Linked DNA regions of Arabidopsis thaliana. The protein of the gene in region 2 interacts with the protein of the main gene of each other region in a biochemical or structural test. Each region holds a gene or a part of one and is shown on either strand. Other genes may lie near its edges. The genes, in order: SNRK2.3, HAB1 and SNRK2.7.

Region 1 (3,757 bases), on a different chromosome or scaffold from region 2:
TTGTCCCAGAAGATGCACTTTATACTTGCATGTATTATCAATTTAGCATCAATCGCATCGATCAAGTTCTTTATATTAATAATATTGTTTCTTAAGTCTCTCTTTTGGTTTTACTTATATTTCCTCGACTTTTCTTGCAGTTGGAAACTCTGACTTTGCTCAAGGCATTATGGACGCAATCGAGTTTTTCTTTCTTCCTGATTTTGTCGGACGTCCAACAGCGAAAAGACACTCACCACGTAAAAGTCAAACGACTAACAAAGAAGTCAGCTTATTTGGTTGATTTTGAGTCCTGCAGACAGTTTTGGTATAAAGTATAAACCAAAGGCCTCGTATCAATTTGAACAAAAGATCTCCACTCCATCCCGAAACAAATACTACCTTGCTTTTTTTTTTCTTTGTACCCTATTAATATTTTTTTGACATTTCTTTTGGTTCAAGTAAAAAAAAGGAGAAATTAGTGTTTTTGGTTGCAAATCTATTTGTAAATTAGATGTCAAGAGAAGTGTTACTTGCCCTAGTGGTTTATCACATATCCGACGTCAACCGGAAATATTAAATTAAAAAGTATGAATAATCTATCTTTGTATATCCGCATTTACATTTTTTTTTGTTTCTGGAAAAGTATCGATCCTGTTATATATACCTAAAGTTTAAAATGCGAAATAAGAAACAAAAAGAGTTTAGTTTATGAAAACATTATCATAATGATACCAAAAAGGCTAAGGAAAAACAAATTACAAAAAGGCTACATCATTTTTTAAAAGAGAGTGTGTGCTTCACATATAAACAAGGAAACGCATATAATAATCATCAAGTAGCTAGATGAAGCTAAAGAAGTAGTTAAGTGTGAATGCTTGGCAATTAAGATTGTGTTGGTTCATTTATTAACAATCTTTGACCACTCACTAATTTATTTTTGGCTCTCTCTTCTATATCATCACCGTTTTATCTTTATAAACCATCCCTCAAGACTCTCCCAATATTACATGATGTGTTTAATCCTCACGAATTCGCATGAATCAAAACCGGCTGAAAAACAGATGTAACATTTAAGTTAACATACTCACACCAATCTAAATTATTAGACTTTCATTCACTTTAACACATTTGTCCATACCATGATGATCATAACAATCAGTAGCTAAATCAATGTGAGTGTGGCTTAGATATTTGATCTGAATGATTCATGAGAAACATGGATACTTAATGTTCATGTGCATGTGCATATAATAGTATATTAATCTCACCAGTAGGATGCTTAGTATAGCAATAAAGAGAAGGTGGTGAAATTGATGAGCATCGGCCATTAAATTAAGCACTGACCCATTAATTGCGCACTTACCCATAAACACCATTCACTCCTTTTCATTAACTTAAGAGTAAAATTATACATACACCTCGCTATCTCTAACACTAGTCACACTAGTGTACCTTCCTCGGTACTCTTATCAATGTCTCGTGTCGCAATAAATCCATATAAAGATTTCTAACTAGGTCAATCCAACATCCAATTTAATACAACAGTCCTTAGTAGATTCTAATTTAAGTGTGTCTCTATATATATATGGACCGACAAAATCAATGACCTAAGATTTGACTATATATTTCATGCAAATATGATAAAATGCTATTCATCCAATTAATCATCAATATTGTAATTGGGCTGGCCTTTTGCTTATATCTTTAGGCATTTTCTTTAACAAAATTAGAGCCAGGCCCATCAATTAAATTGAAAAATGCTTAGAAGTTGTCACGTCACTGTCCATGTCATCCATGGTGGGATTGGGCTGGCCTAAAGGACTTTTCTATGTAAAAATTAGAGGCAGGCCCATCAACTAAATTAAAAAATGCTTAGAAGTTGCCACGTCAGTGTCAATGTCATCAGTGTCTATTTCTAACGCCGTCAAGTAACGGAATAACGCAACCGAATATTCTTTCATCACATGGCCGCTTCTGCAGCACGTGACTTTCAAGCTTCTGTTTTCCTTATGAACTAAGTTTTTCTGTTTCCTCCAAACTATTTTTTTTAATTAGAATATCTTGTTATTTATAACGAATATATCTTCTTCTTTTACTTATTTTTAACACAAATATTTATTTGTTTGATACGAATTCTCAAAATGAGAAAAACGAAGAAAAATAGAAAAAAATCGAAACGGATAAATACAGAGAATTTAGAGAAAAAAGGTTTGTATTTTAGGAGACAAGGACGAGTGAAGTCGTGCTTTTTCTTTTTTTATTTCATGTTAATTTTAATATTTTTGGGTTATAGTTTCTTAGGAAGCAACATCAATCATCAAAACGCGGCGGCTCTTGTCGTATCAAAGCAACTGAACGTTGTCGTTTTGGGACAATCCTTATCTCTTGGGGCAACCAATTATTGCCTTTTTTCTTCCTCTCTTTCCTTATTCGTTCTCTTCTTGAAGATATTTTTCCATTTATTTTCTCGAATCTTCTTCTTCTTCCTAGATTCCAGCGACTTAACAACAACAACAACAACATATTCTCTGCTGGGTATTAGATTCGAATTTCTCTTTTTGTGATCAGAAATGGATCGAGCTCCGGTGACCACAGGACCGTTGGATATGCCGATTATGCACGACAGTGATCGATATGACTTCGTTAAGGATATTGGTTCTGGTAATTTCGGTGTTGCTCGTCTTATGAGAGATAAACTCACTAAAGAGCTTGTTGCTGTCAAGTACATCGAGAGAGGAGACAAGGTTTCATTTTTAAAAATCTCATCTTTTTCTATTTTTGGAAGTTGATGATATTTATTTAGTCCAGTGATCGTTCATTTTTAGTGTTTGGTTTAGCTTTCACTTTCCAGATTTATTGGTTTCGTACTTAAAGTTAGCGTTTTTAGATTTTGATGATTATGCTTTTGAGTGCTTTTAATGTGATTTTAAAGATGTGAGCTTCCTAACACTTGAATGATGATTTTAATTTGTGATTTATGTGAAATTTTGGATATTGAAATGATTTTTTTAGTTGGTTTTGAGTGTTCTGCTTTTGTAGATTAGGACAGTTGTGAATGACTTGTAACTATGGGAGTTGCAGATTGATGAAAATGTTCAAAGGGAGATCATTAACCACAGGTCACTAAGGCATCCTAATATTGTCAGATTTAAAGAGGTAAAATTTATACACTTTTCTTCAGTACTTGTCTTTTTGGAATTTGTTAAGCCAGTGACTCTTTTAAACTCTGTTTCTTGTACTTGAGGATAGGTCATTTTGACGCCGACTCATCTGGCTATCATAATGGAATATGCTTCTGGCGGTGAACTTTACGAGCGGATTTGCAATGCAGGACGGTTTAGTGAAGATGAGGTTTGTATTTGGTTCTCTTATCGGGTTTACAGGTCTCCGGTTTCCTTATGGTTTGATCTCTTCTTGTAAACAGGCTCGGTTCTTCTTTCAGCAGCTTCTATCTGGAGTCAGTTATTGTCATTCGATGGTATGTAGAGAATCTGTTTCATGGAGCCTATGGACTGGTTGTATTCTTGTTTTTTTCTAACTTGTTGTTAATACTCTACTTTTTTTCATGTGCTGTGAAGCAAATTTGCCATCGTGACCTGAAGCTAGAGAATACATTGTTGGATGGAAGTCCTGCTCCTCGATTAAAAATTTGTGATTTTGGATATTCAAAGGTATCACAAATGATTTTGTTCTTTTGGTATCAGAAACTATACACTTGTGGTTCCTCCATTGTCATGTTCAAATGTGTTTTTAAAGTGTTTGCTTATGCATTTCT
Region 2 (3,757 bases):
AGAAGAACCAACAACGGCTCTACCAATTTTTCCTTCAATCTCACCATCGACAGTTAGAAAACAACTCGTGAAGACTTTATCCCACTGCACCTGCCTACCCTCTCCTGTATTCCTCTTGCATAATTCGTCTTTTATACGTTCTATTTCTTCAGCCAAAGCAAAATGGAGTCTATCTCGGCAATAGTCAGCAACCTACAAGCCATTGTAGATTTAAAATCTATGAATTTAACCAGAACATCTCAAAGAGGTGTATAACAATCTACATTGCTAAAACAACTTACATAAAATGTGAATATAGCATACCTTATGGCCTCCATGACCATCATAAACACCGAAAAAATGACCGGTGAGGTGTGTGAGGCTTGGACTCATACCCTCATGGTCCCCCATAAGCATTTTGATGGGTAGTTTCAGAAAATGAGGTGACACGGCAAAAGCATCCTCCATCTCAGATCTATTCCCTTGAATGGAAACCGTGCCCCAAAGCGGTATACAATCTAGTTCATAAACACTTCTCCCTTTCACCAGATGATTACTATTTTCATCTGGCAATCTAATGACAACCTCCGAAGTATTGGTATCCTGATTTACACCCGCGATAAGAACTTCCGCGGTGGGAACCTGCTCAATGCTTGATTCGCCTACGATAATCGCGGTTGCAAGAACTCGCCCGTTATCTATTTCCATAGCTGTATTAGACAAGCTTAATTCAGAGCCTGCATCAACAACTAACAAGCCCTCACTTATGACAGCACTATTATCCTCCACAACAGACAATACATCGTCTTCATCAAAAACATTGGAAGACCCGCTTCTCGTATCGGATAAAGTTTTCAACAAATCCTGTTCACCTACCTCTTCCAGTTCAGAAACATCTTCCATAGTGCATTCAGTCCCTCCGTTGCAAAAGCTTTGATTTTCAGAATCAGATAACAAGTCAGCTGCATCAGTAACGTTCTTTAGCTGAGTGATCTCGACAGGTGATGATTCACACATGGTGTTGGCTGCTAAGCTAAGAGTCATTGCAACTGCGGGAGTCATCTCCTCCATGAGCTCTCCAAAATCAGAGATTTCCACACCACACCACAACAAAGCTTTAAATTTCAAAGATGGACTTAGGAGAAATCAATTGTTTTCATCTTCTTCTTCGAATACTCTAAGCAATGGTTTCATGATGTTGAAGAATCCTTGCTCCAAATAAGTTTTTGTCAGCGACCCAAATGCCGCTTTATTCATACACTAACTTAGCATAGTTAAAACGACGAATCAAGGAGAATTAAGTACCGGAGATAACCAGATCTGACGAATCTATACGACGAATTCTCCTCACTCGATTATATCACTCTCTTGATCCCAAAATCGCAACAACTTCGTCGATCTTTTCTCAAATCCTTATCTTGATTTCAACCCTATTGAGAGATCACAAAGCACTAATCAAAAACTCACGAATCATTATCCAAACGGTCATGTCAAAGAAAATTCACACAAAAACCAGAAAAAGGAGGGAAAATCAGCGAAATCAATCACAAGAAAGCCCTAAAAAATTCGAACCATTAACGTCCATAATCATATAGTAGAACATGGGTTTCCTTGGATCTAAATTAAAAAAGAAGCTTTAGCTTTACCCAGAAATAGAAAGATGAATTTAAACTTTGTTCTTAAGCAAAACTAAACACAAAGCTCAAAACAACAAGAGAGATTCGACACATAATAGCAAAAATCTTCCGATTGAAAAGCTAACTACACAGAAAAACAACATAAAAAAATCAGGAAAGAAAAAAGAAGAGAGAAAGAACTAACCAGTTGATGAATCTTTAGAAGATATTCGCATCTGCAAAAAAATTAAAATCGAACAGAAGAGAGAGAGAGAACAAAAGTAAAGATGTTCTTCTTCTTCTTCTTCTTTTTATTTTCTTCCCTCAGGATTATTTCTCGCTCGAGCTAAATTGCTTAGAGAGAGGCTCTCTCTATCAGCGAAACAAAGAGAGAGAGAAGAGAATATTGTGTGGTTTGCTTTTTCTCTCTGTTTTTTTTTATTCCTTTTTTTCTTTGGTTTTGTAATATAATTTATAGGAAAAAAGAGTATTTATTACAAAAGAGGATTAATAAAAGGACACGTATTAGTCTTTGTATCATTTTGTGAACTTTGTCCTCTTTTTTTCTTCAACTTTTTGTCCTTTTTCTTTTTTTAAGGTCGCTTCAGGCAACACCTGTCGATCAGCTAACAACAACAGATGTTATTTAATTCCTTTTTTTCCCATTTATTTATTTTCAGAACCAAAAATATGTTTACAAATGGAAATTGATTTCTTTCTCTTTCCTTTTTTTAAAAAAAAAATATATCATAAAAATTTATATAAAGTAGAAAAACACTAATTATTTCCATAAAATTTTGACATGTAATATTAACCACGAAAATTAGATATAGATAAGTGAGTATCTTAGTTGTACAATCTGACGTGTAGATAAGTGAGTATCTTAGTTGTAATTTGTATTTGATATAACTGTAAAATGAATAAATTGTATTAATAGGATCAATGAAATCTTGACACGTAATATATTGGTTCAGCAAAAATTTCCCATATATTTTATTTAAACTGATCAAGTTTTAGTTTTGAAAGCTATGAGTAAGAAATAAAGATTGGTTTTATAGTTACGAACTTGTCTATAGAACTCTCTAGGTAAGAAAGAATAACACAAAATTATTGTTATCAGTAAGAATGAATCAGCCTAAAAAAATAAAAATATTTATGTATACTTTTCGATAACGTTAAAGTACAAGTTCTCACAATCAGTGTTTAATGGAATCGTCTTAAGAGTAATAATCTTTCGAGAGACGTATAAGATATGGTGATATCGCCAAGAAGAAATAAAGATGGAAGACGACAGCCCCAGAAAATTATATTATTTGGTCGTTTACCTTTTTTTCTTTGTTCTTTTTGGATACGTAAATCAAAAAATGCAACGTGTGTTTGTTTTTTTCCAAGTCAATAATCGCAATAATTTCGATTTCTACCACCCGCCCACGTGGCTACTCTGATTGATCAGGGACGAAAATAATAAATATTTTGTTACACCTCTAGATTTTGTACTCATAAATTTCAAATTCGTAGATACATATATTGCTGTTGCATTATTATCGAAACTCAAATTAAGTAAATGTGTGTAAATTGAGATGTGTGATCATGTTTAAACATAACATTCTATTCTCTAGTCTATTTTACTCTCTTTTTTGGTTCAACCTCTAGTCTATATAAACCTAAAAGACTAAACCATATGTTTGACTAGTTTTACTAATATTTTTATCTAAAAACTTTGTTTTACTGATTAAGATAAAATAATCGATTTAATATTTTGATAATGTATAATCGAATTTTATTTTAATCGAAACGCGTACATTATAGTACAAACTAGATCTCACCAGCAACTTCCCAAAAATCACTCTCTAATTAAAGATAAGTTGAGACTTGTGGAAATTTCCATTCTTGTTTGTTTGTTTCACAAGACTGTTGAGTTGTTTGAGAAATAAACCCTCCAAAATTAGAAAAATTGTAAAACCACTAAAAGCTTCATCATCTCACAATACAATTTTCTGTTTCTTTTCATTGTTCATTGTTTCTTCTCTGAGGTTGCAAAGCCAGACAAAAGAAAAACAACACAATCGATCTTGGTTGTGGGTGTTTTGTGACAAAGAAGACATGAGATCATTTATGAGTATTATAGTTTCCTTGTGAAGCAGGTTATTCATGTTTCTTGG
Region 3 (3,757 bases), on a different chromosome or scaffold from region 2:
CACCCCACACGACCACACATCTGCAATCTATATACATTTAAGATCATATGTTAATATAAATTATATGACCTTCTTTATCAAACAAGTTGTTGTTGTTATTAATTTACTTTAATCAATCTATTATTGTAGTTAATTAATAATTTAATTTGTACCTTTCCATTATATTCTTTCCGGGACAAGACTTCCGGAGCAACGTAAGCCGGAGTTCCCACGGTGGATTTTGGTTGAGAGTGTAAAACTGATGACTGCAATTACAGTTCAAAATCAAAATTATACTCAATGAATTGTGTCTAATCACTGAAGGTTACTTAGATTACATGGTGTACATATAGTTATACCTTGGAGTATCCAAAATCACATATTTTAAGATGCGACGACGGGCTCCCGTCTAAGAGTGTATTCTCGAGCTTAAGGTCTCTGTGACATATTTGCTACATTCAAAATGAACAAAATAAAATTCAGTAAGCAGTAGTTTCAATGGTATGATATCACTTTTGGAGATTATTCATATTAGAAGACTAAACGTACCATAGCGTGACAATAGCTAACTCCCGAGATAAGTTGTTTGAAATAATATCTTCCCTAAAACAATAATTAGCAAAAGTTAATTATCAATGTAATTATTAGATTAATCGTCGCTAATGATGAATTAAAGTTATACTTCGTCTTCGCTGAATCTACCGGCATTGCAAATTCTTTCAAAAAGTTCACCACCAGCTGCATACTCCATTACTATGGCAAGATGTGTTGGTGTTACAAAAACCTGCAATATAGCCCAACAATAATCCAACCAAATAAACATATTTATTTTAATTCTTTTTTTATTATATTCAAGATCGAGACGACCTAACGATTGCTTCTATTTTTATATAATCTTGAATTTGTAATTGCTGTCATATGAACTCTAATTTGGACCGTTTGAGAATGGGACATATGAAATTTAATACATTCTTTTAGAACTTAGAAGAAGTCTAACCATGTGAAATTAATACACATAAATTACATGGCCAGATATTTCTTACTTTTATATTACCGTGGATCGAAATTCAAACTAACGTACGGATATCAAATTTCACGCCAATTTTATCTTGCAGTGGAAAAATATATGTTAAAATTGAATATTTTGTACACTAACCATAATTATTGCCACTAGCTTATTATCACGTATTGGCTGAAATTTGTCATAGATTTCTTTTTTGTTTTGTTCGTTTATGTGTGTTTTCTACTAAACCAAAAATCAGACACGATTATATATGGATATAGTCATGGTTTTGATCATTATCATATACATACGTACCTCTTTAAATCTGATGATATTAGGATGCTTCAAGTCTCTGTGGTTTATGATCTCTCTCTGAACATGTTCATCAATCTGTATAAAGCCCATTTCATAATTTGAAAAAATGATTACTAAAAAAAAAGAAAAAAGAATATTTACGAGGAGATTAAAGAAGAAAAAAACCTTAAGGCCTCTTTCGATGTATTTAACGGCGTAAAACTCTCCGTTGGCTTTTTCTCTGACAAGCTTAGCAACTCCAAAGTTACCGGAACCAAGATCTCTTAAGATGTCGTATCTCTCCATTGATCGGAGGATCAAAGAACAGAGAAAAGAAAGAGAATATTGTTGTTCTATGTCTCTATCAAAAACTATGTCGTTTTGCTTCCTCGAGGTTATTAAAGCAAGATGCTAAAGAATTTAAGCTTTTTTTCTCTCATGGTTCAGTCACATATTAGCATATTTATATACAGACATACGTACAGATACAGTCAGCACCAACTTACCTTTATGGGCCCACGAGACTGTTGGGCCGTCAATATTATTGTTGAATATAGGCCCATTTGACACGTGGCATCTCTCAAAAACATGAACAACAAGGACAGGAACAAGGTGGTGAACTTGCAAACCGTTAAATTTGGTTTGTCTCTTCATCGATATTTATGATGTGTACCTTCTTCGGAAGAGACCAAGAATTATACGTTTTCTCGCAAGAGAAAAATAATTCATTGTCAATACATATAATTAATCCTTGTATGTTATATAGTTCATCAACATCTCAGAGATTGAAAAGTGAATACCTGATTAATAAATGCGATTACCCATTTTTAGTAATATATTCAATCTTTTAAATTGAAGTTTTCTACCAAACTTACCTGTTTTAAAATTAAATAAAGATACCTAATTTTCTTATCTTAGAAAACATAAAGAATGGCCCACATTTTAGATTTCGTGATCATTTTCCGCAACCCAATAAACAAACAAACTCATCTAAATATTATAAATGAATTAATAATTGAGCTTAATCTTTATTTACAAAACAAAATTTTAGATGTCGACCAAATTAACAGGTCAACGGCTAAATGATCAAAAGCTAAAAGCCAATAAAAAATGTTGCTTAAACAAATTACGTGGTCTATTAAACAATGCGTGCCTTAGATCATTATTTGATCCTTCTGTTTGTTTCTTTCATTGTGTATAATCTTTTTCTTGCTTTTTTTTTATAGATAGGTAAGCAAAATGTTTAGCAGACTTCGTTATAGTCGCCCCCCATAATGTTTTTGTTTTTTTCTTTCATTTTTATCGTTTTAGTATAATGTATTTGCATATAAATAATGTGTGTATAATCAAATACTATATTCGTGATGATTCAAACAGCTCTGTTTTTTTTAAGATACGCTTAACAAAATCCTCTCAATGATCTCTTGTGATCTTAAGGAAAATTATCCAGCTTAGTGTTATCTTATACATATCCTTCATATGTTATTTTGTTAAGACTTGAGATATGTTAATCTAAACAATTTGTTAAGACACGAACTTATGGAATAGAGATATAGAGGGTTAAGAAGTCAACGCCTTGAGAAAGCGAAATAGTAGAATTAATAAGGTAAACCAAAGCATTCGTATACGTGGCGATATACTATCCGTACATGTGGCAATTTCGAAGCAAGTGACAAAACTAGATGCCAAGTGGAAGTGGTGTTTTGTGCGTCAGGGCGTAATGGAAAAAGGTTACGTGGGAGGTTAATATTGGGCCGTGATGTAAAAGCCCATCACCGTTGAGTGGTTGGGTGATAGCAGAATTGTCCCCACATTTTGGTTGCTATTATTGGAAGGCTATTATACATTTGAAAAACTTATGAATTTCATTATGATTTCCCAAATATCGAGACCAAAAACTATTATAATAATGAAATTTCTTAATTTGTTGGAATCTTGTATACCTTTTTCCCACAATATGGATTACATTTCGCTTTGTAATCTGGTTAAATGCGAAAAGGATGTCAATTTTATTAGCATAAATAGAAAATAAAGCTATAGCATACAAACACATGGGAATTTTTCTAGTAAAAAGTTAACTTTTCAAGGCTTTTAGAAAAGGCAATAAAAGAATCGCACTAGAGGATTTGAGGAGTGCAAATGCGAAATTGGCTAATAAAAAATTGATTTTCTACATATATTTTATATAACAAAACATTTTGATTTCACTTTCTATATTCAAATAAAGTGGATTTCTTTTTTAATGTATTAAAATATTTTCATTGTAAGTTGCAACTATGACACCTTTACCACATTGTTTGAGCTTTTTCAGTTTTATTTCATTTTGTGTTTTACATAAGAAAATCGAAAAAGGTCTCTCTGGCCCATATAAATAGACAAATAGTGAAACAAGTTAAATATATTTCCAACAAAATAAGCCTTGTTTATGTTCATTTATTTATAGAGAATCTTCGTTATTGGGCCGACTAAGGCCTATAACGA

What was found.
Region 1: the proteins of HAB1 (region 2) and SNRK2.3 form a complex in vitro, tested with the Arabidopsis thaliana proteins (2 studies listed by BioGRID, with this or other methods).
Region 3: the proteins of HAB1 (region 2) and SNRK2.7 interact in a test that uses a peptide from one of them, tested with the Arabidopsis thaliana proteins (one study listed by BioGRID).

The regions. Positions count from the first base shown.
Region 1 is NC_003076.8:26,708,145-26,711,901, forward strand, and holds the start of SNRK2.3 (sucrose nonfermenting 1(SNF1)-related protein kinase 2.3), read left to right. Parts: upstream 1-2,157; 5' UTR 2,158-2,190; intron 2,191-2,275; 5' UTR 2,276-2,552; coding exon 2,553-2,726; exon of another isoform or gene 2,727-3,063; coding exon 3,064-3,138; intron 3,139-3,231; coding exon 3,232-3,333; intron 3,334-3,406; coding exon 3,407-3,460; intron 3,461-3,560; coding exon 3,561-3,653; intron 3,654-3,757. UniProt on the Arabidopsis thaliana protein: Together with SRK2D, key component and activator of the abscisic acid (ABA) signaling pathway that regulates numerous ABA responses, such as seed germination, Pro accumulation, root growth inhibition, dormancy and seedling growth, and, to a lesser extent, stomatal closure.
Region 2 is NC_003070.9:27,388,291-27,392,047, reverse strand, and holds the start of HAB1 (HYPERSENSITIVE TO ABA1), read right to left. Parts: upstream 2,101-3,757; 5' UTR 1,801-2,100; intron 1,410-1,800; 5' UTR 1,051-1,409; coding exon 304-1,050; intron 193-303; coding exon 1-192. Other genes in the region: AT1G72760 (Protein kinase superfamily protein), read left to right, coding at 3,747-3,757. UniProt on the Arabidopsis thaliana protein: Key component and repressor of the abscisic acid (ABA) signaling pathway that regulates numerous ABA responses, such as stomatal closure, seed germination and inhibition of vegetative growth. Confers enhanced sensitivity to drought.
Region 3 is NC_003075.7:18,549,475-18,553,231, forward strand, and holds the start of SNRK2.7 (SNF1-related protein kinase 2.7), read right to left. Parts: upstream 1,710-3,757; 5' UTR 1,583-1,709; coding exon 1,463-1,582; intron 1,373-1,462; coding exon 1,298-1,372; intron 764-1,297; coding exon 662-763; intron 583-661; coding exon 529-582; intron 432-528; coding exon 339-431; intron 246-338; coding exon 153-245; intron 28-152; coding exon 1-27. Other genes in the region: AT4G40011 (uncharacterized protein), read right to left, coding at 1,724-1,930.